Linked DNA regions of Stegostoma tigrinum. The protein of the gene in region 2 interacts with the protein of the main gene of each other region in a pairwise test. Links are inferred from orthologs where the notes say so. Each region holds a gene or a part of one and is shown on either strand. Other genes may lie near its edges.

Region 1 (6,877 bases), on a different chromosome or scaffold from region 2:
CCACCCAGACCTATCCCCTCTGTAACCCACACACTCCTAAACACTACGGGCAATTTAGCATGGCCAATCCACCTAGCTTGCACATCTTTGGACTGTTGGAGGAAACCGGAGCACCTGGAAGAAACCCACTCAGACACGGGGAGAATGCGCAAACTCCACAGTCAGTCGTCTGAGGCTGGAATTGAACCCGGGTCCCTGGTGCTGCGAGGCTGCCGTGCTAATCACTGAGTCACCATGCCACCCCAATTTGATGGCAATTTAAAAGATGCGTTTAACAGCAGTTCTACTTTTAACAGAACTGAATTGCACTCTCCATCTAATGCAACAGAATTTTGAAATAATCAAATACAAAAATGAATTTTCACCTACAAGGTAAACAATTAGCACTTCCCACTATGCCGTGAAGTTGGAAATTACCCAGTTCCCCTGTTTATATTATTCATTATTCTCCAACTCTCTGCTTTTAATAACATTCTCTGCATTCCATCTAACTAATCACAACCACATCATCCTTTTCACATTTTAACATTAATTTGCCTAAAATCTTTAACAGAAACTTGCTCATTTCAACAGTCACTCAACTGTTCTAACAGTCCACCATGTGTAACTGGGGGCGGGGAAGGAGAGAGAGAGAGAAAGAATGTTGGAGATGTGGACAGCAGTGAACGGGGTGGGAGAAAGCACCAGAGACCGGGAGCTTGGGGGCAGGAGTGGGAGCTCTGGGGGATGTGGTGGCAGGAATGGCAAAACAGCAGGAGCTCAGGTGGGTGTGGTGGGGGCAAAACAGAGCAGGCAGTGGGGAAGTCAGCAGAGTAGTGAAGACAGAGAGAGATGGCGGGGTCAGAGGGTGGGAGCTGGGAACGGTCAAGGGGTAGGGAAAAGACAGCGTAAACTGGGGGTGTCAGGGAGTGTGGAAAGACAATGGGAGCCGGCCGGCGGGCGGAAGAGACAAGAGAACTGGAGCGTGGGGGGTCCAGGGGGTGGGGAAAGAGAGCAGGAGCCTGGGCAGGGGGTCCGGGGGTGGGGAAAAAGGGCAGGGGGTCCAGGGGGTGGGGAAAGAGAGGAGTCCAAGGGATGGGGGAAGATTAGAAGCTTGCAGGGGTCCAGGGGGTGGGGGTCTGAAAACAGAGCGGGGGGGGTGTTCGTCCAGGCAGTGGAGAAACAGACCAGGAGTCGGAGGGTGGGGGGGGAAGTCGGAGGGTGGGGGGGGGGGGGGGGAGGAGTCGGAGGGTGGGGAGGAAGGAAGTCGGGGGGGGAGGAAGGAAGTCGGGGGGGGGAGGAAGGAAGTCGGGGGGGGGAGGAAGGAAGTCGGGGGGGGAGGGGAAGTCAGGGGGTGGGGGGGGGAGAGTCAGGGGGTGGGGGGGGGAGAGTCAGGGGGTGGGGGGGGGAGAGTCAGGGGGTGGGGGGGGGAAGTCAGGGGGTGGGGGGGGAAGTCAGGGGGTGGGGGGGGGAAGTCAGGGGGTGGGGGGGGGAAGTCAGGGGGTGGGGGGGGGAGTCAGGGGGTGGGGGGGGGAGTCAGGGGGTGGGGGGGAAGTCAGGGGGTGGGGGGGGAAAGTCAGGGGGTGGGGGGGGAAAGTCAGGGGGTGGGGGGGGGAAGTCAGGGGGTGGGGGGGGGAAGTCAGGGGGTGGGGGGGGGGAAGTCAGGGGGTGGGGGGGGGAAGTCAGGGGGTGGGGGGGGGAAGTCAGGGGGTGGGGGGGGAAGTCAGGGGGTGGGGGGGGGAAGTCAGGGGGTGGGGGGGGGTGGGGGGGGGAAGTCTGGGGGGGGGTGGGGGGGGGAAGTCAGGGGGTGGGGGGGGTGGGGGGGGGGAAGTCAGGGGGTGGGGGGGGAAGTCGGGGGGGGGAAGTCAGGGGGTGGGGGGGGGGGAAGTGCAGGAGCTTACGGGGGTCCAGGGGGTGGGGGGTTGGGGGGAACAGAGCGGGACCCGGGGGGGGTCGTCCAGGGGGTGGAGAAACAGGGGGTGGGGGTGGAGAAACAGGGGGTGGGGGTGGAGGAAGGAGGTCGGGGGGGGGGTGCAGGAGCTTGCGGGGGTCGGGGGTGAAAAGAGCGGGACCGGGGGGGGGGGGGGTTCGTCCGGGGGGTGGAGAAACAGGGGGTGGGGGGGGGGGGGAGGAAGTCAGGGGGTGGCGGTTGAAGTGCAGGAGCTTGCGGGGGTCCAGGGGGTGGGGAAACAGAGCGGGAGCCGGGGGGTTCGTCCAGGGGGTGGAGAAACGGGGGGGGGGGGGGAAGGAGTGCAGGAGCTTGCGGGGGTGGGGAAACAGAGCGGGAGCCTGGGGGCGTGGGGGTCGGGGGGGAACAGAGCGGGACCCGGGGGGGGGGGGTTCGTCCAGGGGGTGCAGAAACAGCGAGAGCCTCGGGGGGAGTCAGGGGTGAGGAAAGAGAACGGGAGCCTCGGGGGGAGGCAGGGGTGAGGAAAGAGAGCGGGAACCGGGGTGGGTCAGGAGAGCGGGATCTGGGGGGGGGGGGGGGGTGAGGAAAGAGACCGTGGTGGGTGTTGAGGTTGGGCAAGATAATTGGAGAGGTTGGGAAGGGGTGATGGAAGCGTCGTGGGACAGGTTTGGTGAGGGAGAAAACGGACCGTAATAGGGTTGGTTGGTTGTGGGTCTGTGGGGTGTGGTGATTCGTCTTCCTGCCGTCTGGCCCGGAATAGCCGAACCGCGCCAGGTCGGGTCGGGCCGGGCCGCTGAATACTCAGCGAATCCCAACTCGAGGCCTTGCGGCAGCTCCAGTCGCTCGGGAATCTCTGATAAAGGCCTTAGTCAAGGCTGCGTGCAGGGCGGCCTGGCAAGTCAGCACCTACCTCAACACAACCGCCGTAGCAAAGTTCCAAAGTGAATTACAAACAAACCGGGGGAGGTGGGGAAATCCTCCCGTGGGTAGCGGGGGATCAGGCTAGCAGTTAACGGCAATAGAGAGTGACGGTCAGAGAGGAGCCGCCGAGCTGTCACCGAACGGCTGCCATGGTTGCTCGAGCAAAGCTAAACATTCAACAACGTCAGCGCGTTCCCACTACCGGCCGCCCGCGAGCCCACACCCCTCTTCGTCCCTGGAGGGGGGGGGGGTAAAGTGATTGACAGCGGTCCTAACCACCAGAATCACGAAGACGGAATCATAGTTACCAATCACCGCCTGATGGAGGCGGGCAGATAGGTGTCGTGATGGACTGCTCTGCAGAGTCTCATTCCCCGGAATGTCGGAATTAGCGAAAGACTCTTGATTTTGGAACTGGGCTTTCACGTAAAATAATTCCTTAATATCATGAGAAAATAAACAGAATGATTCGGGAGAAGACTTAAATGTATAAATATGCAAGGTGGATCCAGAGTTGGTTCATATATTGGCGCTCCCACACTGACCTCCAGATATGCTCCTGTGTCAGATTTCTTACTGTGGGTTTATTTTTGTAAGCATTCTCTTCCCACCCCGCCCCCCACCATGAAGACTTGGTGTTCCCTTTGCTGATGCTTCCACAGTTCTCACCTAGGGAATTATCATCCCAGTTTTAAGTCTTTATTCATCTATTATTCTTGCTGTTTCCTTTCAAAAATTTTCTTCCATACAAGTGGTCACTAGCCATTGATCTAGGTTTGACAGAAATACGTCTTGTGGCTAATGACCCCTTTGAATCCTTCTTGTCACCAAAGAAACGATGGCAAACATACTCAAGAACAGATTATGAATAGCCTCAATGCCTTTGGCATCAGCAGATCACAGTCATACAGCACAGAAACAGATCCTCCGGTCCATGCTGAACGTACTCCCAAACATTAGTAATCCTGCTGGCCTGCTTCAGACCTATTTCCCTCCAAACCTTTCCTATTCATGCACTTATCCAAATGCCTTTTGAACATCGTAATTGTACCCACATCCTCCACACCGTCAAGACGTTCATTCCACACATGAACCACCCTCTAAAAAAAATTGCCCCTCATGTCTTCTTTTAAACTTCTCTCGTCTCACCTCAAAAATGTGCCCCATAGTCTTGATATTCCCCGTTTGCAGGGAAAAGACAACTACCATTAAATATATCTATATTCCTCATTTTCTGATAAACTTTTATGATCGCTGAACCATTCTCTGCCCTTGCTATTCTGGTGCTGTTATAGCATCACAGTACTTGATGACATTCAAAGTCATTACTATAAGCAAGGCTGATTTGCCAGTTCTAAATATGTTATTAATTAAGCCATTAGATAAAATAGCTAGAGATAATGGGAACTGCAGATGCCTCCCCCTCTCTCCCTATTTATTCCAGAACCCTCACCCCATCCCCCACTCTGATGAAGGGTCTAGGCCCGAAATGTCAGCTTTTGTGCTCCTGAGACGCTGCTTGGCCTGCTGTGTTCATCCAGCCTCACATTTTATTAGATAAAATAGCTACTCCTGATCTGCATATCTACTGAGGATTCCAGGCATCGAGAGCCTCAAGATGAAGCCCAGTGCAATCTGGAGTCAAGGCCTGGCACAGACTAGAGGTTGGGAAGGACTAGTCTTGATTTTCTGATTTATTCCTACAATCTGTAGTGCTGGACTTTTTAATTTCTTCATTTTTCTTTTTTTTTCCTGAAGAAGTTGTACTGAAGAATCTGTACCCAGGGATCTTGTACCAAAGATGGCACCATAAGTGGCGACTTGTAAACTTTTCACTAACTCATTAGAGTGCACGTAACAATAAAGCTAATTCCACTCGATATCATGCAGACCATGTGGAGGTTGCAGAAGAATCTTCAAAATCTTAAATTCTAAGAAAAACCTCCCCCAGTTTGTAAAGCATAGTTTGATTTCAACAAATTTGTGCTAATTAGATATGGATTAACTTCTAAATTTTAAAATATTTTCTCTTGAATCCTAAATCCTGTAAGTTTACCATGCCAGTCTATAATTTACTTGACTTGTCTGCCTTTCTTTTCGACAGTGATGTTATACTTTCAGTCTGATGATATAATTTTCTTGAATGATGAGGTTTGGCTAAGCATTATTGAACCTCTGCTTTCCTCCCCGACATGCTTCAGTAAATTCAAACCCATGTCAAAACCAAGTGATTTTTCCAACTTATGCTCTGCTGAATTTTTCAGAATCACATCTTTTTTTTTAAACTTCTAATAATCATTTCAAATCCCCTGGCACTCCAACATTATCTTTCACGGTATAGAAATGAAATATCCCTTTTTAAATGTGTTCTTCAGAGAACAAAGCACAGTTGATCATTGGAGGATTCACAAGAACACTCTTTGAATGTCACAACAAAAATATTAAATGATTCCTTAGACGATGCCCAACTGTCAGTTTCTTTATATTAATAAGAAATTGTAAGTATTATCAAACATATTGCTTTAGTTAGAATGAGGATATCAGGGCAATAATGTGACATGGTTGTTAGCTGTCATACATGCATGGTTTTCAATGAATTGAGGACCATTTTCAAATATCACTTCTGCTGGGGCCCTTAAAGTCTACAGACAATGCTAACACTGATGGGCTAATGCGGCAATCAACATGGGTTGAAGCTTCTGTCCAATACTCTGAGTGGCAGTCAGGAGGACAATGTTCTGTCCCCACCATGACTTGATCTGAAGGTATCTTGGTCCATGGTGATAATAGTAAGTCAAACAGTTGGAAGGAGTCTTGTTGCTTAATCATGTCATGATCAACATGACCGGTTAGGAGCTACCCCTCAGGTTTCTGAGTGCAGGCTATTACAAACTGGCATCCCAGAAGAAATTCCCAGTCATTAGACTGCAATCAGGACTTTCTTTGTTACTGTCTAAAAGCAGTTTCTGAATCACTGTGTTCATATTCTCTCAGTGTATAAACCCTGTTTGTTGCAATGTTCAGACTGGGTCAGTTTATGGGTAATGACTGTGCTTAGATATTAAAATGATTGCACACTGGTAAGCTAGCTACTGTAGACCCTGTTATGTTCACTGTCCAGAATGTAGACTATGTTGATTAATAGCACATGTATTACGGGTCAAGGGAACCTGGACACTATATTGTCAAATTATTGTCTGACATGAGGTTTACACTTGTGAGTTGAACATCTGGGTTTCATGGCATAGGTCTTTAAGAATGCAGAAAGGTAAGAGTTGGGCCTTGCATATGTTACGGTCTGCATTCTCAGTTAATGCCTGCCTAGTTTTCCAGGACAGATGATAAAGCTACCGTTTGTAAAAGGAATTGAAAATGGTTTGCTGAGCTGTTCATGGGGAATAGGTGCCCCACTGCAACGTTGTCAATTTCATTCACTCCTCCAATTTAGTCAGGCATTCCCTAGTTTCATGTATGGGTCATTTTTTGGTGATTCTTGAAAGTGTCTTGCCATCTATCTCTGAAAATCTTGCTGCCGTTGCCTCTACGAACTATTCACAATCTATATTAATGACTTGGATGAAGGGACCAATGTACGTTTGCTACATTTGCTAATGACACAAAGAGAGGTAGAATTGCAACATGCAAAATGGACATAAGGAGTCAATTTGGAAAGGGATATAGATAGGTTAAGTGAATGGACCATGATATGACAGATAATTATAAACTGGGAAAATGTGAACTCATCCACTTTGACAGGAAAAGTAGCAAAACAGTATATTGTTTAAATGAAGGCTGCGAAGTTGTTTCTTGCAGAGGGATTTCAGTGTTATAATGCATGAATCATAAACTGAATATGCACTTGATTTAAAAATTATGGCTTCTCATTTAAAACAGAGATACTCAGACTTTACAGGATCAAACATGCATGTTAAATTGAATGAAATTTATTGTCATGTACTCAAATTAGTACAGTGAAAAATTTATAAGTTGCCACTTACAGCACCATCTTAGGTGCAGAGTCCCTAAGTACAAAGCTTAGTTCCAGTACAGAGAAATGAAAAAAAAATT
Region 2 (7,604 bases):
AACAGGCCCTTCGGCCCAACAGGTCCACACTGACCCATTAACCTGTAAACCCACCTAATCTACACATCCCTGAACACTTTGGCAGCAACTTATCACGGCCAATCCACCCTATCCTGCACATCTTTGGACTGTGGGAGGAAACCGGAGCACCGGGAGGAAACCCATGCCGTCATGGGGAAGATTGTTCAAACTCCACACGGACAGTTGCATGAGGATGGAATTGAACCCGGATCCCTGGCACTGAGGCAGCAGTGCTAGCCTCTGAGCCACACCTGAGTTGAGGAAACGTAGTTAGCAGGATTTGAACCGGCATGGGGAAGCCCAAATGAATTTCTAATTGATTTGCCTTAACCACTCAGCCATGACTACAGAGGCCTAATGCTGGCAAATGAGACTAGGTTAACTTAGGACATCTTGTAATAAAGATGTACAGCATGGAAATGGGCCCTTCAGTCCAACCTGTCCATGCTGACCAGCTATCTTAAATTAGTCTAGTGGCATTTGCCAGCATTTAGCCCATATCCCTCCTGAGCCCTTCCCATTCATGTACCCCAAACGAGTTGGACTGAAGAGTCTCTTCCCATGTTGTATAAGTCTACCAACTGTATAAATGTGCGTTCTACGGACAGCAAACCCACAACCACTATATTGTGTGCAGGCTAAATTAGACCCTCTAATGGTTTAATTGTCAGTGGTGAGTTTTTATTTGTGTGGCTGGGGGAGGGTGTTAAGTGAATAATAGAATAACAAAGCTTATTTTTTGCATTGCCTCTTATAGTAACCTGGTGATGTGTGTGTTCTTTAAAACATTGTGTTCTCCTGAGCCAAAACGTTCTAGCAGGAGCCAAATGTGTTCCCTGAAGCCGTAGCTAATGCTGAACTGAGGCAGAGATCCTGACCGCAGCGCAGGAGCTGACCAGATGGTCAACACATTGTGGTGTTTAGCATTGAATCATCATGGTTTCTGTTCAGTTTCACTGAAAGATGAGGAAGGCATTGGGTTTAAAGATAACAAGGTGTGAAGCTGGATGAACATAGCAAGCCAAGCAGCATCAGGGGAGTGGGAAAGCTGATGTTTAGGGCCTAGACCCTTAAGGTTTCTGATGAAGGGTCTAGGCCCAAAACGTCAGCTTTCCTGCTCCCCTGATTCTGCTTGGCCTGCTGTGTTCATCCAGCTTCACACCTTGTTATCTCAGACTCTCCAGCGTCTGCAGTTCCCATAATCTCTCAAGGCGTTGGTTTTGCTTGCTTTCATTGGTCAGAGTGTAGGAATCGGGAAGTCTTGTTGCCGCTGTACAAGATGTGGCTGAGGTCATGTTTGGAGTACAGCGGGCAGTTCCGATTGCCCTACCACAGAGAGGATATTTAAACTAGGAAGAGTGTAGAAAAGACGTTACCTGGACTGGAAGGTTTGTGTTATAAGGGGAGGTTGCATATACTGGGACTTTTTGTTTTTTGCCTCTGGAACATAGGACATTGAGGGGTGGCCTTTTCTAGGAGTCTATAAAATCATGAGAGGCACAGATAATGTAGACAGCCAACAGCTTTTTCCAGTGGGAGGGGAGTCTAAAGCTAAAGGACAAAACCTTTTTTAAAGTGAGAAGGGAAGAGATGCCAAAGGTCCAGAAGGGCAATTTTTAACACAGGATCGAGTGTCAGGAGTGGGCTAGAGGTAGTGGCAGAAGTGAGTACAATTTTGTCAATAAAGAAACATTTGGACGGGGCAAGTGTGGAAGTATATGGGCTAAACACAGGCAAATAGGACTAGTTTAAATTGTGAAAACTGGGCAGCATGGACCACTTGGCCGAAGGGCCTGTTTCTATGCTATGAACCTCCTGACTCTCTAACTTTCACCAAGAGCAGCTCCTAATGCCTTTTGGTGGGGAGGCAGCTTCCTTTTAAATTCATTCATTCAGAGATGAAGGTATCTCTGGCTAGGCCAGCATTCATTGCCCATCCCTAGTTGCCCAGAAGGCACCTGAGAGTCAACCACATTGTTCGGGAAAGGTAGGGTATAAAGAGCCGCGGATGCTGGAAACAAAAGCAGAAATTGCTAGAAAAACACAGCAACATCTGTGGAGAGAAGCAGAATGAACGTTGCTGGTCCGGTGACCGTCCTCCATAACATGGAGTCGAGAGTCATGTAAAGTCCAAACCAAGTGACAATGGACCTTTCCTTAAGGACTTGGTGAGGCAGACACTGGATTCATGGTCATTGTTAGACTCTTCCAGACACTCACTTATTTCTTTTGCTGAATTCAAATTCTACTACTTGCCAGGAGGGGATTTGATCCTGGGGCCTCAGAACATTAGCCATGTTTCTGTGTCAATAATCGAGGGATAATGCCACTAGACCATCCCTTCCCCTTGCCTGCAAATTGAACTAATTAATCTGTGACTTGTCAGGGTCACGTGTTCATTTATTCTTTTGGAAATTCTCTTTTTTTTGTCTTCACCTCCCCTCCTACCGTGTTGTAAACCTCCTAACTCTGGTATCAGCCTGTGACTCTCCTGATTCCCAATGCCTCTGGGGAGGCAACCAACAGACCCAGGTGGGGTTTGAGTTCTCTCTCTAAATTGCAAGGAAGAGAGATCTCATCACCCAGAGATTGGGGACCTTGACGAATTCTCGATCACAGAAAGCAGTTGAAGCCAAAGCATTGAATGTGTTGGCGTTGGGTATAGCTCTTGGGCCTAAGGGTAATTAAAAGGTAATAAGCGAGAACAGTGCACAGAGTTGGATTATTAACTGTGATCGTACTGGAATGGCAGGGCTAGGGTCAAAGGGCTGAATGGCCTCCTAGCGGCTGTTTTGGCTTCCTGACTGCTGAGTCAGCAATGTTTACCATGGCAGGGCCTCAATGGTTGGGACTGCGGCCTCGCAGCGCCAGGGACCCAGGCGACTGTCTGGAGTTTGCACATTCTCCCTGCGTCTGCAAGGGGTTTGCTCAGGTTTCCTCCCACCGTCGCATGATGTGCGGGTTAGGGTGGATCGGCCGTATTAAAGTGCCCATAGTGTTCAGGGGTGTGTGGGTTATAGAGGGATGGGTCTGGGTGGGATCTCTGAGGGGCGGTGTGGACTTGTTGGGCCGAAGGGCCTGGTTCCACACTGTAGGGAATCTATGATGCTGTTGCCTCCGGATGTTTTGTGATTTGCTGTTGCCTGAACTGGCCATTGTTTGTCAGTGACCATGGTGGAATTTGCAGGCTATTCAACTACAGAGGCTTCAAGATGAGGCAATTTTCATCAGGGATCATTGGTTAGCATGTAGCAATCCATTCCCACATCTTGTACCATAAACTTCCAACAGCTCTGCTTTATAGTCTGAGCTTTAAAATAAATCTAGGAGAGCGGGCAGCGCTGGTCACCATGTGCATTTGCCATCGGGAGGGTGTTTTTATCCAATGCAACAGTGCTCGTGTTAACATAAACTGAGTGAACATTGGGGTATTGAAGAATCCCACAGAAACTTATTACAATTAAGTATTATGTGTCATCACTGCATTCTTCAGCCATATTAGTATCTGCGCTAACATTAAACTAGTGGGTTACAACAGATAAGCATCGTACTACATAAACATAGAACATTACAGCACAGTACAGGCCCTTCAGCCCTCGATGTTGTGCCGACCTGTCATACCGATCTCAAGCCCATCTAACCTACACTATTCCATGTACGTCCATATGCTCATCCAATGACGACTTAAATGTACCTAAAGTTGGCGAATCTACTACCGTTGCAGGCAAAGCGTTCCATTCCCTTACTACTCCAAGAAAAGAACTAGTAGGGTGTCCTGCTTTAAGTGACCCAAGGTACAATGGAGTCTGACCTCTTTCCACCCTCCTCCTCAGGTGTGATAATTAACTCAAATTTGATGCGGAGGCGCCGGTGTTAGACTGGAACAGATAAAGTCAGAAGTCACACGCCACCAGGTCATAGTCTGGCAGGGAAATCACAAGCTATGGACTAGTGCTCCTTCAGCCTTATCCCTGACAAAGGAGCAGTGCTACGGCAGCTTGTGATTTCAGATAAATACAGTACAGATTGACTGACGGTGAATAACGTTACCGTTTTTCCAGGCTATCCATTTCCTGGCTATCCCTTCTTGAATCCCCTGCTGTCCAAGTGGTTTTATGAAGCTCATTCCTCCTCCTCCAGGATGCTGGTCATAAACCCAACCCCTTTACCTGGGTCAAACACGGACAGCACCACGGTGTTTGGTATCACCAGACTCAACGGTTTCTGCTGGGTTTCGCCAGCGTGTGTGTGTGTGTTTCAGATTTCCAGCATCTGCACCTCCCTGGGTTACAAATGGGCCCCCCTGTGGGACCTTTCGCAGCGCTATACAAATGCACGTTGTCACTGTTGACTGAGGGGAGTGCATGGCCGAGATAAAGCATCAGGCGTGGCATTGGCCGGGAGGATGTCACTTGTATCTCTGAGATCTTGCGCTTTTTCCTGTTAACCAGGCAGATGCTTTCACCTCTGCTTGTCGCACTGTGCAGCGGGGAGTGCTTTTCTTTTGCTTCTGCGGAGGGGTGCAGCGAGGAGGGGGTGAGGCTTCGGGGTGGGGGGGCATTCGGCCTCGGAGCTGGAGGGCTTAACAGTGCAGCGGAAGACGGTGGGGGTTGGCGTCAGGAGCATGGCAGATACTCCAAGCAGGAACCTCGCACGAACCAAAGGGACTATGCAAACGCGACACAGGAAGTATGTTGTTTTTACTTTTTGTGTTTATTGCTCTGCGTTTACAGTCATTGAGCGCCAAATTCTCATAAGCACAGTGGGTAATCTCCCTTTTTAAGACTCCTGTCTCTCCAGGGCCTTCAGTCTGTGCCAGCTCAGCAGGCAGTGGGCTCTTTCAATCCCCTGCCTACCCAGTGGCTGAAATAATGCACTTGATTCAACTTGGGGCAGTCGAAGGATCTAACTGAATTTGCAGCCCAGGAGTGAGGCTGTTTGGGGTCTTTGTGTTGGTGCCATCCTTTTGTAAGAATGACCCAATTCGCCCCGCTTGCCCCATCTGTCTCCTCTTCCCGCGCCCCATGAGTTTCGCTTTCCTCCAGATAATTCTCTGGTTCCCCTTTTTTCCAATCTCTCTCTCTCCCTCTCTCTCTCTCTCTCTCTGTATGTGTGTGTATCTCTCAAAACCACAAGCATATCTGCCTCCACCATGTACTCTCGGGTAGCTCCTTCCAGATCCCACGCAGACGGCTTGTTTTTGTTTTAGAAAGCTGACAAACAATCTTTCCTCCTCCTGGCCTTTCCCTCCAGAGCATTTCTTTTGTAAAGAAAAATGTTCCCCCCTCCCCTTTTTCACTAAGTGGGAGGATTCTCACCTGCTGAAGCTGGGTGCCTGACTGATGTGTTGAAAGCCTCTAACGCATCTCCTTCTCGAACCTCCCTCCCTCCCAAAGAGGGCAACCACCCCCACCACCAGCGAACAGCTTCTCCCAGGAACCGTTCTTGGGCGTCTTCTTTGCGTCCATCCATGAGCATTTTTCCTCCATCACTTCAAGTGTGAGATGTCAATGAGGTTTCTGTTGTCAGGCCCAGGTCTCTCTCTCTCTCTCTCTGAAGCCCAGACAAGCTGGAAGTACCCACCCGAAGGAGGAAAACGAGATGTGCTTGTCACAGCAGTTGTTGTTGTTTGGTCTTTGTGTTCCTCCCATTCTGGGCCCAAGGACGCTCCTCGCCTTCTGGAAAATCCCAGTTTCTGGGAATTCCCTCCTGAATCCTCTCTTGAGAACCTAAGAATTCAGAACAGGTTGTGTGACCCATCGAGCTTTCTTTGCCATTCAATAAGATCATGGCTAATCTTTTCACAGACTGATACACACTTACCCTTCCACACACCGTAGCCCTTGATTCCTATAGTCACTTTCCCTACCTCTCTCCCAAGCGCACCCCCCCCCCGCCACCGCAACTTTTCCTGCACAACGCCCCATAAAGGCTCCTTCTCTGGGCCTCGGAACAAAGGGACGATCCTTTTAGAGCTGAGACAAGGGAGGAATTTCTTCAACCAGAGAGTGGTGAATCAGTAGAACGCTTTGCTGCAGAGACCGAACCAGTGAGTGCCTTTGAGACAGAGGTCCTTGACAGGGCAAGGGATCAAGGATTGCTGGGAGAAGGAGGTTAGAGAAATATGTCAACCATGATTGAATGTCAGAGCAGATGTGATGGGCTGAATGGCCTGTTTCTGCTCCTGTATCTTAGGGTCATACAACCTTCTAAGACCCCTTACACCATGGCTCTCATTTGAGAACAGTCCTATGAAATGACTTGTCGTTTTCTGCTCAATGAAATATACTTCATGTACAAACAAGGAGCATGAAGAGGCCATTTACCCCCTCAAGCCTGCTCCTGCTATTTGAGATCACAGCTGATCAGATTATAAACCTCAAACTCCCCCATCCACCTACCCCAGTAACATTTGCCCCCTTGCTTAACAAGATTCTAGCTATCTCTGCGTTATTTTTGCAAAATAAAATAAATGAAAGATTCTGCTTTCATTGCCATTTCAGAGAGACAGCCCCAGATTTTATTTTGAAATAAGTTTTTATGGGATGTGGGTTTTTCTGGCAGGCCCATATTTGTTGCCTGACTCTAGTTTTTCCCCCTTGAGAAAGTGGGATTGAGCTGCCGCCTTGAACCGCTCCAGTCCATGTGCTGTGGGCTGACCCACGATGCCATTTTGGGAGGGAATCCAGGATTTTGATCCAGCAACACTAGAGAAATGGCTGATTATGTTTCCAAGTCAAGATGGTGAGTGGCTTGAAGGGCAACTTGAAGCTGGTGATGGTCCCATGTATCTGCTGCCCTTGTCCTGAGAGATAATAGTGGTTGTGGGTTCGGAAGGAGCTATCTGAGGATCATTGGTGAGTTGTTGAAGTGTACCATGTCGACTGTACACACTGCTGCGACTGAGCATTGGTGGTGGAGGGAGTGGACGTGGCTCCAGTCAAGTGGGGACTGCTTTGTCCTGAATGGGTTTGAGTTTCTATGTTGGAGCTGCCCCCCGCCCCACGGTCCAGGCAAGTGGGGAGTATTCCCTCGCACTGCAGACCTGTGCCTTGTCATTGACACCAGCTCTCCAGAGATATAGAGAGAGAGAGAAATTGGCCTCTTCTGGTTTTTAAATTTCTGACCCTTGATCTGTAAACAACAATGCCTGTCTCCCTCAATCTTCCTGTGAGGGGTAGCACCTACCCCAACATCTAGCATGTTGAGACCACCCTGATCTTGCACTCGTGTGCAAATCTTTGCTTTCGTGAGGCATAACTGTGGATGTTGTTCTAAACAGAAGAAACACTGCTCAGAAACACCAAGTCCGTGTGCTTACCTCTATGTATGTTGTCTTTACCACTGGACCACTCCAAAAGAAGTGTCCCCTATCCCTGAGCCAGAAGGTTCAAGCCCCACCTACTGCAGAAGTATGTCCAATTTGATTTGTCATTGTTGCAAACACCAAAATAAAGTGTAAAAATAGAATAGAATGCACATTTTTAGTGTTGCAGCTACAGAGAAAGATCAAATCTAATATGAGAGGTCCATTCAAAAGTCTGGTAACAGGGAAGAAGCTGTTCTCAAATCTGTTGCTATGC
Region 3 (7,171 bases), on a different chromosome or scaffold from region 2:
GACAGCCAATATTGATTCTAAATAATAAATATCCAAAATTGTTTCGTTTCTTAATTACCTGAATTCATATGAAAATCCAAAATAACTGTTTTGTTTTGACGTTGTGCGAAAATATATCGACCCAGAAATCAAGTAAACATTGAACTGCCCCATGCCTGTTCAGCGCCGAAATCACGAGCATTTATTGCACATAATCCCACAAAGATCCGCTCCAAGCGTTGGCGTACAGGAAAATTCCAATACCCGGACTCAGGAACTAGACAATGCCACAGAAAGCTCAGGTTAACATTTCAGTAGGATAGCTTTTGACTGACATTGGTACAAGGTAATTATTTACTATTAAAAAAAGTTTTTCTTGTTGTTGTTCGACACTTATTCACGTGAAACCACGCAGTCTCTATCTGCGAAACGTATGGGGGGCGGGGAATGGAAAACGACAAGCCTCACCTTCATTGCAAAGAGAAACGTCCAGAAGAGCTACAGCGATAATGGGAACTGCAGATGCTGGAGAATTCCAAGATAATAAAATGTGAGGCTGGATGAACACAGCAGGCCAAGCAGCATCTCAGGAGCACAAAAGCTGACGTTTCGGGCCTAGACTGAGCTTCAGCACTGTTTGACTCGAAAAAGTGCAACATTGCAAAATACAGTTACGCACTTAAAGGTCACAACGAACACACCACAGTACAAGTACAGACACAAAATGTGAACGCGCCGGCAAATGAGCACACACGTTTGTTTTCTATTTTATGAAAATGCGTGGATGAGGAATGGGAAGGGGTGGGGTGTTTCCTAACTCGAACTGCGCGCACGCAGTTGCAAACCCGTTGGACATCTAACTTTGAGAAATCGGATAGACTGGACCCTTCCTCCTCCTCATATACAGACATCCCACTCATTTCTCTTTGTTGGGAGGAAGTTGGGCGATCTCGCTACTTAGTGACCGCAATGCACATCTCTTTTCTCACTGTCTAACAGCTACTGTACTGACTATTTGACTCCAATGTTTCCAGCAACTGCACTCAACAATCCTTCTTTGAGATCCCTTCTTCAGCCGAATAAATCGCCTGATGTTTTGTGATATAGATCACAATCCCTTCTAAAATGGTGTGCCAGTGAGCATCCAAGGGGGTAAAGAGGGCGCAAAAATGCTTTCAGTAAGGTCGACATGGCCTTTATATAATAGGCGTCATGCGAGTTGTAAACATTTAAACACTCCGTTAATGCTCATGTAGCAACATTCAAGAATTGTCCTTCTGTTTTACTGAGCTGGCTTACATCTCCCGCGGGGCGGGCTGGGGGTTCACACACTTTCACCACAACGTCCTTGCATTGCGTTCACTGAGTTATGAGGTAGGCGAATGCATGAAAAGTACAAGCGGAATCGAGCTGGAACATCTCGTCTTACTCAGTGTCAAGTTCGTGTGCCCCCTGTTGCTGAGTTCCACTAGTTGTGTGGGTGTCGGTTAGCCGCCGCTATATGACCGAATCTAGGAGCCTGTGTTCATTGCCATCGGGCTGGGGGCTGCAGTTCGCAGCTGCGGGCGCCGCTCCTTCGAAGCTGCAGGGCAGACCGTTCGTCAGGCGATCCTCGCTCGGCACGGGGTTGTCATTGGGATAACTGCTGTGGTGGGTGGACGGCAGCGAGCCCCGGCAGCCCCACAGCACCGTCTTGAAGGCATGCCTGAAATCCGAACTGCGGCAGTATATGAGCGGGTTAAAGGCCGAGTTGGAATAGCCCACCCAGTTCAGGAAAATGAACACGGTGTTGGAGATGCTGTCCTTAAAAATGACATTGACGATATTCACCACGAAGAAGGGCAGCCAGCAGAGGGTGAAGACGCCCATTATAATCCCCAGCGTCTTCAGAGCTTTGTGCTCCTTCAGATTGAGAAACCTGGGCGTCCTTTTCTGCCCCTGTTTGGCAGCTTTGCCATTCACAGAAGGGGCAGGCTGGTTCAAGTTGTTGTTGAGATTGTGGAAGCGACCCTGGTACTTGTTGATCTTCTTCAGCTGCTGCCTGGCTTCCTGAAAGACCCGGGTATAGAGGAAGACCATGACGAGCAGGGGCAGGTAGAAGGATACAATGGAAGAGGAGATGGCGAACTCTTTGTTGGTGAGGAACTCGCAACACCTGGGGTCGGTGTAACATTTCTGGGAGTCCGGGTCATCCAGCCTCCACCAGCCCATGTAGATGGGCAGGAAGGAAGTGAGAGCCGCTACCATCCACACTAGGAGCACCACCAGCCGCGCTTTGCACTTGGTCAGCAGCGTTTGGTAGCGGAAAGGCGAGGTAATGGCCAGGTAGCGGTCCAGGGCGATCACACACAGGGTGCCAATACTCGCCGTCACGCACAGAACATCCAGCGAGGTCCAGAAGTCGCACCAGAAGTTTTCAAAGTACCAGACGCCGGTGATACTGCGGACCCCACCGAACGGGACAACGATCAGCCCCATCACCAAGTCTGCACAGGCCAGCGACGTGATGAAATAGTTGGTGACCGTCTGCAGCCGCTGGAAGCGGGCAATTGCCGTGATCACCAGCACATTACCGAACACGATCACCAGCACCATGACCGACATGACGATACTGACAATGATCTTCCAGGCCGGGCTCAGCTCCTTGCGGGTGACCGCGCTCTCGCTCCCCGGAGCTGCGCTGCTGTTCAGCATGTAGGGGCTCAGTGGGAAATAGACACTGCTCTCTGAGCTACTCTCCTGCGAGCCCATTCTCAGCGGCGCTGCACATAATGCCAGCAGCTCTCCCTTCTCCTCACACTCATATCACTCGGTGACTCTACAGCCGGCCACTTAGCCCTCTCTCTCTCTCTCTCTCTCTCTCTCTCGCCCGTTCGTTGCAGAACTCCGCTTTGTGGATTCTGTTTGAGCGCTCCTTCCTTTTCGCTTCTATATAGCGCCCAAGGGGGGCGGAACGTCATAATCTTTCACAACCAATCGCCGTCTACCTGCAGCTTCAAACCTCGAAGCCTGCACCCATCGTTAGCTGCACTATTTACCTCCAAGTATTAGACACAAGTGGCGTGTTCCCCGTCAGTCCGACCACCACTGGGGCTCAGTAACTCAACTTCACAGTATTCAGAAAGGATACAGGATTCGGGGCTATTCATATAAATGGGAGAAGTAGCCATTTGTCAATCACAAAAAAGACATACTTTTATAGTAAATTGCCACTTTTTAAAAAAATTCTAGGCTTGAGAAATTCTCTGCAGAAACCAGCATTCGTGCCAGATTCTCACCATCACAGCGCAAGGAACACAGACGCTGAAGTCTGACTTCCCCCCCCACCCCACCCCCACCCTCCAAAGCTTCTGACAGCGCGTACTCCCAATCTGAAGTTTACTGGGATTCTGCTACTCGAATCGAGACCTCCCGGCTTCAATTTCACCCTCCCCTCGAATGAAGTCGCGCATTGTTTTTTTTTTCTTCTTTTCCTGAAGACGATATTCCTGTTCTGAAATGTGACGGGTAAGCAGTGGAGGTAGGCTCAGTGCAGACTTCCTGACTTCTCTTACGCCGGCTAGGCACACGCGCGCACACACACGGAGCTTCACACACTAACTGTAGTCAACACTCACTTTGCCACTTGAGGCTATACGCTGAACCGGGACCGCTCGGTCATGAATCAAACCTGACCCAAACTCTACATTCCGGTTAGGGACATACACCAGGCTTTATTTCACTGCCCACAGTGATGGGCCAGCAGACTTGCCATCACAAACACAGTGCAAAAAGGTGTGCCTCCCATTTATTTCTGCACATTGGCAGAGTTATCGCCTCCTCCAGACAAAACGGAAGTTTTGCTTTCTTTCTCTGTTGTGCCTGTCCTGAAAGCTTTCAGATATGTTTCCATCTCCACAAGTTCGATGTTCGTTGTGGTAAGCGCATTAGACCATTTTACACTATGTTAACTGCACAAAATAAATGCAAACTGTTGTTGGACACGCATAACTGTAATACTTCGCGAGATTTCTAGAACAGCGCGAATTGTTCTACGTTGCCGACTTATTTTATCTAAATGCTGAATTCTCCAAAACATTTTGATTTCCAGGGAGACAATCGCTCCAATGGTTAAGTGTACGATCTCGCTGGGCTGATGCATTATTTGCATATGTACGTTCAAAGGATGTCAATTGAAACTGTCTCTCTTGGTATCTGATGTTTTATTAAAATATTTACTGTGGCAATATACTTAATAGCATGTTCCCTGGAAAAATATACCCTACTGACATTCCCAAGAAACTACCTCGGTGAATATAATTTTTAAACCAAAATTAGCTACAATTTGAAGTAATGGATTATATCCTAAAGTAAATCAAAATATTGTCGTCAGCTTGGGTTATTATGTAACATTTGCGCCTCTGAGTCAGTTCAGGATCTAATCATCTCAGAAGGTTCCAGCATAATTATGTTGAACGAGGTTAGAAGTTTGGATGACAAGTGTGCTTTCGTGTGACCGTTAAATATCTCCTAACAGTAATGGAAGGATAAGCAGGGAAGTAGTGCCTGGTTACTTAGTAGCAGTTTCATTTTTGTCTCAGTTCATCCACTCAACTGACCCCAAATATCTCTTCTGTATGGAATCCAAATCGTTCTCTATTTTCCACGAGGTGCGTACACTGGTCCATCCGAATGAACAAACGCTTCCGATGTCAGTTCTAACTTTGCTTTTCACTAGTTCTAACCTCTAGTCTCCTGTAATATTTGCAATGTAACTGCATGTTCTGGATTAACCGTTTACATATCGTTTACACAATGTTCCATAACAAATGCAGACATTTCGGGCCTAGACCCTCTGATGAAGGGTCTAGGCCCGAAACGTCAGCTTTTGTGCTCCTGAGATGCTGCTTGGCCTGCTGTGTTCATCCAGCCTCACGCTGTATCATCTTGGATTCTCCAGCATCTGCAGTTCCCATTATCTCAGACATTTAATATCCAGTTAGAGGATTCGAAAAGTAAATACGTTGACACTATGTTAACCTTTTTGTGGCAGAGGTTTAATTGATTCTGTGGGAGATACCAGAGCAATTCGACATTATAATCAATGGGCACCAACCCGGTTATATTTTAGCCCTCCGTCACAATATCCCACTTTGGGTATCAAATATCTGCGGCTGTTGTCAGGAATGGGAATGAGAAAACGCAATCCATTCAGATAGCTTCGGACTAAGTGACCGATGTGTATAGCCCCAACGCCAAGCACCTCCGCTACCCTCGGGGAACAACGTAGAGGATCCAAATGATGTCAAGGCAAAAGAAGCTAATGACGTTCCCGGCTCTGAAGAGGTGACACTCTCAGCGTGACCATCTCTTCATGTCTCCGTTTGAGATATCGCTCGTCGTTGGCAAACAAAGCTTCTCGCAGAGATCGACACCGAAATCGATATTAGGGTCGCCCGGTTAAATCAAAATCCTGAAATGGTACAAGTGGTAAAGTAGGACGCGAGCCTGTACATATCTCTGGAAAAAGTACAATATATTAAAGAGAAGTTGGGCACTTATAAGCGTCAAGGTTGCATTAGGTCAGATGAACACAAGTCATTTTCAACTAACGTCTGCTCAATGACGCTGGAGAATCTACAAGTGCCTCTCGCTTCCCAAGTCTGTTCAGTGGGTTGCTACAATTGAAAGCATTGGGACTGTTACGTTTCTCCATAAATGTAGATGGTTGATTTCAGTTATCACATTTGCTTGTATGCCGAAGGAGATGGTGAATGGGAAATTGAAAATTATTTTTACATTAGCCTTGGTGTAGATTTCATATGATGTTATCCAATACTAACACGAGAAATTGGTACGTAATTTGATCCTAAAGCGGCAGGGCATCTTTTGATGAGAAAACAAACAGAAGGGAATGGTAATGGTAATTAATTAACTCAAAAAACAAACAAAAAAATCCTACGTAAGTAGTGTTTAATGAGGTAACACAAGATGCGGAGAGATCCGAGTTCCGCCAGCAAACAAAAAGTTAATGTGCCTTAAAGCACATTGTAGAACTGCACAGTGCCCCAAATTAATGAATCAAATGGAGGAATTGCTCCGAAATCTCCAGTACAGATTTCTGTAGCCAAACCGGTCTGATCTTTAAAAGGGCTAGAACAGTTCCAGGATATTTATAAATCAATTAATGGCTATTTATACTTCGTTCTAATTATAAAAGGCTGACGTTCGCACCGAAATAAAGTGTCACGCATGTTACGTCTTTTAGAAAACAGGTAGATTAAAATGCTGTCGCTAGCTATTCATTTTGCTTTGCGTGATAAAACGAAACAAGTTTGTATTAAGAAAAAATGTCAGGAAGGCGTCAGGCTTTCCACGCAAATCAGCGTGTTTGAAGTTGATAGTATTTCAAATTAGTATGATGTTTGGCTCTGTAAACAAGGGCATTAGATAGATAAGCAAGGGGAAAAAACAAGTTTACTAGACTAATGCTTGGAATGAGTGGGTTGTTTAACGAGGAAAGTTCGGACAGACTCCAGGAGCTGAGAAGGCTAAAAGTCAAGTAGGTTGAAACGTAAAATCCTGAGGGATCGTGACAGGGTCTGTGTGTAAAGGATGCTTCCTCTTCTGGGATGTTCCGCAACTCAAAAGATAAAGTCTCCGTAATTAGTTATAAAGTTATATGGTATGGAAACACACCCTTTGGTCCAGCTCATCCAGGCTGACCAGATACCCTACATTAATCTAGTTCCAGAGATAATGGGAACTGCAGATGCTGGAGAATCCAAGATAACAAAGTGTGAAGCTGGATTAACACAGCAGGCCAAGCAGCGTCTCCGAGATGCTGCTTGGCCTGCTGTGTTCATCCAGCTTCACACTTTGTTATCTATTAATCTAGTTCCATTTGCCAGAGCTTGGCCGATATCCCTCCAAACCACTCCTATTCATGTACCCATCCAGCTGCCTTTTAAATGTTGTATTTGTACCACCTTCCATCACTTCCTCTGGCAGTGCATTTCACACACACACCACACCACCCTCTGAATGAAAAATTGCCCCATAGTTCCCTTTTATATCTTTCCACTCTTTATATGTTTATAAAATTATTCCCTCTGGTTTTGGACTTCCTTACTCTGGGAAAAAGATCTTGGCTCTATAAGGTTGTGCCTCAGCCTCTGACACTCCACAAAAATTAGCCCCAACCTATTCAGCC
Region 4 (7,316 bases), on a different chromosome or scaffold from region 2:
GGCTGGAGCAACATGGACTCTGGTGAGATTTCAGGCAGAATCTAGCGAGGCCTATCTCAAACTGAGGAACAAATTGCTGTATCCTTTACGCTAATGCTGAATGGTGAGGTGATTTGTGGTAAGTTGCTAATTAACACAATTCTAGCTTCTTAAACACCTCATTAATAGCAAAACTTGCCTCACTAACAGTCAACTTCTTATCAAACGGGCAAACATCGCGTTTTCGCAGAAGTACAAGCGAATGCCCAACAATTTCAGTTCACTGTTGGCTGTGAGGAGCCTCCATGATGCTCAGAACCAAACAGCATCTCACAGGGATAATGGGAACTGCAGATGCTGGAGAATCCAAGATAACAAAGTGTGGAGCTGGATGAACACGGCAGGCCAAGCAGCATCTCAGGAGTACAAAAGCTGACGTTTCGGGCCTATGCCCTTCATCAGAAAAGCTTTTCTGATGAAGGGTCTAGGCCCGAAACATCAACTTTTGTACTCTGAGATGCCGCTTGGCCTGCTGTGTTCATCCAGCTCCACACTTTGTTATCTTAGCATCTCACAGGGCACAACCTGGAGACACTGGATGAATGTATCCAAATCAAATGTACGTAATACAGGTCAGAAGTCTAATGTCAGGCGCCCCCACACCCATCCAGACCTTTTCTGCCCTCTTTTTGGGCACAGGGTGTGAGAGCAGGTGAGAGAGGATGTTACATGTGATCATGGGAGTAACAGAGCTTGAGCCTTGCAGTGGCAGAGACACAGTGAGTGTGAGGTAGCAGAGCAAAGAGTGTGTGAGTTATGTTGGTGGAGCAGAGAAGGTCATTGACCTCCATGCAGATCTTCTGGCCACTCCCCGCCACAGATACGACATTGACTGGGACAGTCACCTTGGATCCAGCTTCCAGGGTCCATTATCGTGGCCTCTTCTGCTGGTCCTTCAGGAGAGGGACAGCCCTCCTCTGCATCATCCCTTATATTAGGTCCTCCAGGTCCCTGTTGGAGCTGGGGAGTCATGAATGAATTACAGAGATTTACAGCAGGGAAACAGACCCTTTGGTCCAACTCATCCAGGCCGACCAGATATCCTAAATTAATCTAGTCCCATTTGCCAGCTTTTGGCCCACATCCTTCTAAACCCTTCCTATTCATGAGCCCATCCAGATGCCTTTTAAATGCTATAATTGTACCAGCCTCCACCATTTCCTCTGGCAGCTCATTCTATACACACACCGACCTCTGTGTGACAAAGTTGCCCCTCAGGTCCTTTTTACACAAGTTTGCCCTCACTTTAAACCCCATGTCAGTACTGAACATTGAGCAATCATCAGTGAACATCCTTATGATGGAGGGAAGATCATTGATGAAGCAGCTGAAGATGGTTGGGCTGAGCTGAAGAGCTCCTGTAGAGATGTCCTGGAGCTGAGATGACTGACCTCCAACAACCACGACCATCTTCCTTTGTGCCTGGTATGACACCAAACAGCAGAGAGTTTGCTCCCAATACTCATTGATTCCAATTTTGCTACAAAATAATGCAGATGCACACTGATAATAAGAAAAGTATAATAAACAATAAAGGTCCAATAATATTTTCTGCATTAGTTGGCTGAATTTCCCAGGAGATTCACCAGAGCAAATAGCACAGCTGTCTCTTGACAGCTGAAAGATTTTTTTTAAAAAAGCATCTGCAACTTTATTCTTCTTAGCAAGACACCTCTGAGCAGTTGCCAGGAGCTAAGCAAACGACTGGACTGGGACAGTGGGGTGGATGAGAGAGTAGGTGATAGTAAAACTTTGGTCAAAATTAAAAGATGTTTAACACATTTTGTTCTACAGAGAGAGGTGACAATTCTAAGGTTCGGGACCCGCAGGTTCCCTGAAGTCAGAGATATTCATAGAGTCCTTAAAACAGAAAGAGGCCGTTCAGCCCATTGTGTGAGGACCGACCCCCTGAAGAGCATCCAACCTACACCAAGCCCCTATCCCTGAGACTCTTTATCTATTATAACTAACCCACACATCTCTACAGGGAAATCTAGCACAGAAAAACCCATCTCACCTGCACACCTTTGGACTGTGGGAGGAAACTGGAGCATCCAAAGGAATCCCACACAGACACGAGGGGAACATGCAAACTCCACACAGACAGTTACCCGAGAGCGGAATTGAACCCAGGTCCCTGGTGCCATGAGGCAGCAGTGCTAACCACCGAGCCAACATTCCACTCACAAGGATGGCGCTCATTTTTATCTGATTTCCAGCATCTGGATCTCTTTCCGTTTCTCATTTTAATCTTGCCACCCATGTATAAACTGTGGATGATCGTAATAGAACATTTATTTCTGTCAGTTTTATTAGTGAAAGCAAGTGAATGGTGTGTGGAAAGCTTTTTAATCGTTGCCCCTTTTTGTTCACCTGATGAAGGAGCAGTGCTTTGAAAGCTGGGGATATCAAATAAACCCATTGGACTATAGCCTGGTGTGGCGTGACTCCTGACTCTGATGATCTCAGTCCAACATTAGCAGCTCCACTTCTTGGACAAGCAATGTATTTTACTCACCAGCATTCACACCCCAAACCCATCCCTGAGCTGCCTCCACAAGGACAAGTATTTTCTCTACAGCTGTCTTACAAAATCCTTGCACCACCTTAAACAGCTCCGGCAGGTCACCTCTGTTTGCTAGCATGTAACAGGGTGAAGTATGTCGGCACCAGGGAAACTCAGCACTGACAACACCTCGAAGGCAATTAGGGATGTGCAATAAATGCTGAAATTGCCAGCAACCCAGTGAACGCACGAAATAAATGTACAGTGGCAAAAGGTGAAGCCAAAAGCCAAATGGAAAATAAAAAGACATTGCAAAAACAACATGTCTTGACCGCGTCTCCCGCATTTCCCGCGACACATCCCTCACACCCCGCCCCCGCCACAACCGCCCCAAGAGGATCCCCCTCGTTCTCACACACCACCCTACCAACCTCCGGATACAACGCATTATCCTCCGACACTTCCGCCATTTACAATCCGACCCCACCACCCAAGACATTTTTCCATCCCCACCCCTGTCTGCTTTCCGGAGAGACCACTCTCTCCGTGACTCCCTTGTTCGCTCCACACTGCCCTCCAACCCCACCACACCCGGCACCTTCCCCTGCAACCGCAGGAAATGCTACACTTGTCCCCACACCTCCTCCCTCACCCCCATCCCAGGCCCCAAGATGACATTCCACATCAAGCAGAGGTTCACCTGCACATCTGCCAATGTGGTATACTGCATCCACTGTACCCGGTGCGGCTTCCTCTACATTGGGGAAACCAAGCGGAGGCTTGGGGACCGCTTTGCAGAACACCTCCGCTCAGTTCGCAAAAAACAACTGCACCTCCCAGTCGCAAACCATTTCCACTCCCCCTCCCATTCTCTTGATGTCATGTCCATCATGGGCCTCCTGCACTGCCACAATGATGCCACCCGAAGGTTGCAGGAACAGCAACTCATATTCCGCCTGGGAACCCTGCAGCCATATGGCATCAATGTGGACTTCACCAGTTTCAAAATCTCCCCTTCCCCCACTGCATCCCTCAACCAGCCCAGTTCGTCCCCTCCCCCCACTGCACCACACAACCAGCCCAGCTCTTCCCCCCCACCCACTGCATCCCAAAACCAGTCCAACCTGTCTCTGCCTCCCTAACCGGTTCTTCCTCTCACCCATCCCTTCCTCCCACCCCAAGCCGCACCCCCCGCTACCTACTAACCTCATCCCACCTCCTTGGCCTGTCCGTCTTCCCTGGACTGACCTATCCCCTCCCTACCTCCCCACCTATACTCTCTCCACCTATCTTCTTTACTCTCCATCTTCGGTCCGCCTCCCCCTCTCTCCCTATTTATTCCAGTTCCCTCCCCCCATCCCCCTCTCTGATGAAGGGTCTAGGCCCGAAACGTCAGCTTTTGTGCTCCTGAGATGCTGCTGGGCCTGCTGTGTTCATCCAGCCTCACATTTTATTATCTTGGAATCTCCAGCATCTGCAGTTCCCATTATCTCTGATGTCATTGACAGCATTTATATCTGATAACTTGCACAAAGTTATTAAGTGGTATGCATGTCATAACTGTGTGGATACTGCGTAACAGAGCTGGTGACTACAGGGTTAAAAGTGGATATTTCTTGAGTGCCTGCGACCCTACTTTGTGATCATTTCCGTTACTTTCAGAACTTAATTAATGACGCAAAGGATGATTACAATGAAGCCAGCAATAAGATTTATAGCACAGCTCACTGGAGACCAGTGTTGCACAGTCACTGAAGTGCAGCAGTCTGCAATCAACAGCTCTCAGGAAATTGCACTGTAAATGGCTCAGTGTTTCTGAGTGACAGAGTCAATCAACTCTTGCAAATTGGAAAGGGGGAAGCTCATCACCATCTGTGTTTGGCACTGTCCTCGGCTCCCCGTGGGTGTCAGGGTGAGCATAAAAGAATATCTGCTGTCACTTTTTCTGCAGTTCAGTTGTGGCATGTGTTCACCCCGCTCAGTGGACATCTTCAGATCGCAAACAGGCTGAGACCGAAAGCTCACACATCAGTCTCCAGGTAGGAAAAGCATTATAGCTCTCCTCAAGTCTCTGACGCTGTATTTGTCCCCTTCTTTCCCGTTGCACTTGTAGAATAGTAGCCAGATTGTCTCCGGCATTTCCAGTCCTTGCCCTGGCCACGGAAATGTTTAATCTTGCAATCCTTTTGATTTTTACTACAAAGTTGTGCTCTCACCATGATAACACTGTGGCTTTGTAGTGCTCTCTTTTTTTATAATTATTGAGAGCTCTTTGTTAACGTGTCTCCTTTCCATGGCAAGTTTTATTGACGGGCACAAAAGGAGGGAATTACTCTCATCGTTGTCTCAACCCATTTTGAATTTGTTACAGGTGTCTTCTCAACAAAGGTTTCAGCCAATATCGGGATGAAGAAGCAATTTTTTTGCCTAAGTTTACAGCCAAATATTTGCATTAAGGGTTGCGCTTATTTCTTGCTGGTGATACTGTGATCATGAACTGGGTCTTGGATTAGGTGGAAGAGGTGAGACTTCCTAGAATCCCTACAGTGTGAAAGCAGGCCATTCAGTCATTCAAGTCCACACTGATCCTCTGGACAACATCCTACCCAGACCCAAACCTTCGCCCACCCCCCCCCCCCCCCCACCCCACCAACAAGCCTGCCTGTGCAACCCTGCATTTCCCATGGCTGACGCACCCAGCCTACACATCCGTGGATATTACAGGGCAATTTAGTACAGCCAATCCACCTATGACTGTTACCTCCATCCATAGAAGGCAGTATCATCTTGGCCAGCTGATGATTTCTAAGGCACAAAGATCAATGCGTGAAACTAACATTGACAAAGTGAGAATTCAGATTTCTGTAAAAAGTCAACTGTAAGACACCTATAAAACCACATGCTCAATTTTTCCACCCAATCTAATCAATGGGCACAGGATCACATTGGTTGGATTGTGAGTACACAATGCCACTTGGTCAATTTTCCGTCATGCCCTTCAGGCAAACTTTACAGTAAAAAACACAAAGAGAGACTAAACCTCTAATCTTTAAACGGCTGGTACCCCTGGTGGGAAATGCTTACTGTGATTGTGTTTCCTTTTTAAATGAATGTCATTTTATAATCTGTCATTTGTGTGCCAAAAATATGAAGTGCAGTGAGAAGATGATTGCTAAACATATTTTAATAAGCATAGTTCTCCCTTTAAACTCACTGTTGATAGTCAGTAAGGCTGGCTACTGCTTTATTCTTACAATATTATACTGCTTTAATCTAACAATATTACCCTTGATTGTCGATTAATTGAAATCTTAAAAGTACTTGATACATTAAAAAGTGGACTTGCATTTGTACAGTGCCTTTCACAATTTCAGGATGTCACAAAACCCTTTATAGCCAGCTATGTACTTTCAAACCTGGCCCTATTCTAACCCAGGAAACACAGGGACCAATTTGTACACAGTAAGATCCCACAGGAAGCAATGAGAATATAAACGGATACAAAAACTAATAGCAACTCACAACATGTTGTCCTCTACATTGGGCAGATTGGGCAACCACTTTGCAGAACACCTATGTTCTATCTGCAAAAATGACCCTGAGCTTCCAGTTTCCTGCTGCATCAACACACCACCCTGTTCTCTGGCCAACATCTCTGTTTCAGGCTTGCTGCACTGCCCCAGTGAAGCTCAGCACAAGCTGGAAGATCAGTAACTCATTTTCCACTTGAGAACCCTGCAGCCTTCAGTTCTCAATATCGAGATCAATAATTTCAGAAGATGAACATCTTCTATGTTCTTTACCCAGCCCCACAATCCAGGCCCTGCCATGAAATCAAGATAACAAAGTGTGGAGCTGGATGAACACAGCAGGCCAAGCAGCATCTCAGGAGCACAAAAGCTGACATTTCTGGCCTAGACCCTTCATCATCTTGGATTCTCCAGCATCTGCAGTTCCCATTATCCCTGCCATGAAATGGACTGCTCTTAGCAGAGCCAATCCATTTTCACAAACTCATTGCCTGCACTATCAGCTCTTCTCCTTCCCTGACACGCTGTCAATTGCCTCTTTGGCTCCCTCACTTTCTTTCTCTATCTCTGGGCTCGATCTCCACCTATCTACTCACTCCTTCACTCCCTCCATCACAATACCTCTGACCCCCTGTCATCAGCATGAACGCCACATTTCCTGAGCTATTATTAGTCCTGAAGAAAGGGTCACTTGATTCAAAAGGTTAACTCTGTTTTCTCCCCATGGATGCTGCAAGATCCGCTGAGTCTCTCCGACAACTTCTATTTTTGTTTCCAATCTTCAGCATCCACACTTCTTTGTTTTATTTAGTGATAACCGGATGCTCTGTCGTATTTTAGTGATGTGGGCTGACGTATAAGTATTTGCCCTCATTATTAGTGAATTCCTCCACACTTCTTTTAAATAGTACCATTAGATCTTTTACACCAAATGGAGAGATCAGTTGGGTCTCAGTTTAATGTGCTATCTTAAAGGAGGCATTGGGACAGTGCAGCACTCCTTTGGTACTACACTGAGTGTCAGTCTGGACTTTACGCTAAAGTCCCAGGAAAAGAACTTGAACTTAAAAACATTCAGAGATAAGAGTGCTATCACTGAACCACATCTGACATTTGAATCCTAGATTATTACTGAAGGAAATGAATTTGTAGAAGTGAAGATTAGTAATTTTTTAAATTCATTCATGGGATCAGGGTGTCAATAGCCAGGCAGCATTTATTGCCCATCCCTAATTGGCCAG

The links.
Region 1: the proteins of arrestin red cell (region 2) and mitogen-activated protein kinase 9 interact in binary tests that used the Homo sapiens proteins (3 or more experiments, as listed by UniProt). The two-hybrid records come from large-scale screens. The link is inferred for Stegostoma tigrinum from reciprocal best matches to the Homo sapiens genes ARRB2 and MAPK9.
Region 3: the proteins of arrestin red cell (region 2) and adrb2a interact in binary tests that used the Homo sapiens proteins (3 or more experiments, as listed by UniProt). The link is inferred for Stegostoma tigrinum from reciprocal best matches to the Homo sapiens genes ARRB2 and ADRB2.
Region 4: the proteins of arrestin red cell (region 2) and agtr1a interact in a two-hybrid assay, tested with the Homo sapiens proteins (2 studies listed by BioGRID and IntAct, with this or other methods). The link is inferred for Stegostoma tigrinum from reciprocal best matches to the Homo sapiens genes ARRB2 and AGTR1.

Annotation. Positions count from the first base shown.
Region 1 is NC_081366.1:37,148,544-37,155,420, forward strand, and holds the start of mitogen-activated protein kinase 9, read right to left. Parts: upstream 3,013-6,877; 5' UTR 2,799-3,012; intron 1-2,798. UniProt on the Homo sapiens protein: Serine/threonine-protein kinase involved in various processes such as cell proliferation, differentiation, migration, transformation and programmed cell death.
Region 2 is NC_081398.1:5,107,526-5,115,129, reverse strand, and holds the start of arrestin red cell, read left to right. Parts: upstream 1-4,595; 5' UTR 4,596-4,645; coding exon 4,646-4,710; intron 4,711-7,604. UniProt on the Homo sapiens protein: Functions in regulating agonist-mediated G-protein coupled receptor (GPCR) signaling by mediating both receptor desensitization and resensitization processes.
Region 3 is NC_081366.1:51,363,642-51,370,812, reverse strand, and holds adrb2a (adrenoceptor beta 2, surface a), read right to left. Parts: upstream 3,002-7,171; 5' UTR 2,731-3,001; coding exon 1,477-2,730; 3' UTR 159-1,476; downstream 1-158. UniProt on the Homo sapiens protein: Beta-adrenergic receptors mediate the catecholamine-induced activation of adenylate cyclase through the action of G proteins. The beta-2-adrenergic receptor binds epinephrine with an approximately 30-fold greater affinity than it does norepinephrine.
Region 4 is NC_081367.1:68,722,592-68,729,907, reverse strand, and holds the start of agtr1a (type-1 angiotensin II receptor), read left to right. Parts: upstream 1-4,296; 5' UTR 4,297-4,584; intron 4,585-7,316. UniProt on the Homo sapiens protein: Receptor for angiotensin II, a vasoconstricting peptide, which acts as a key regulator of blood pressure and sodium retention by the kidney.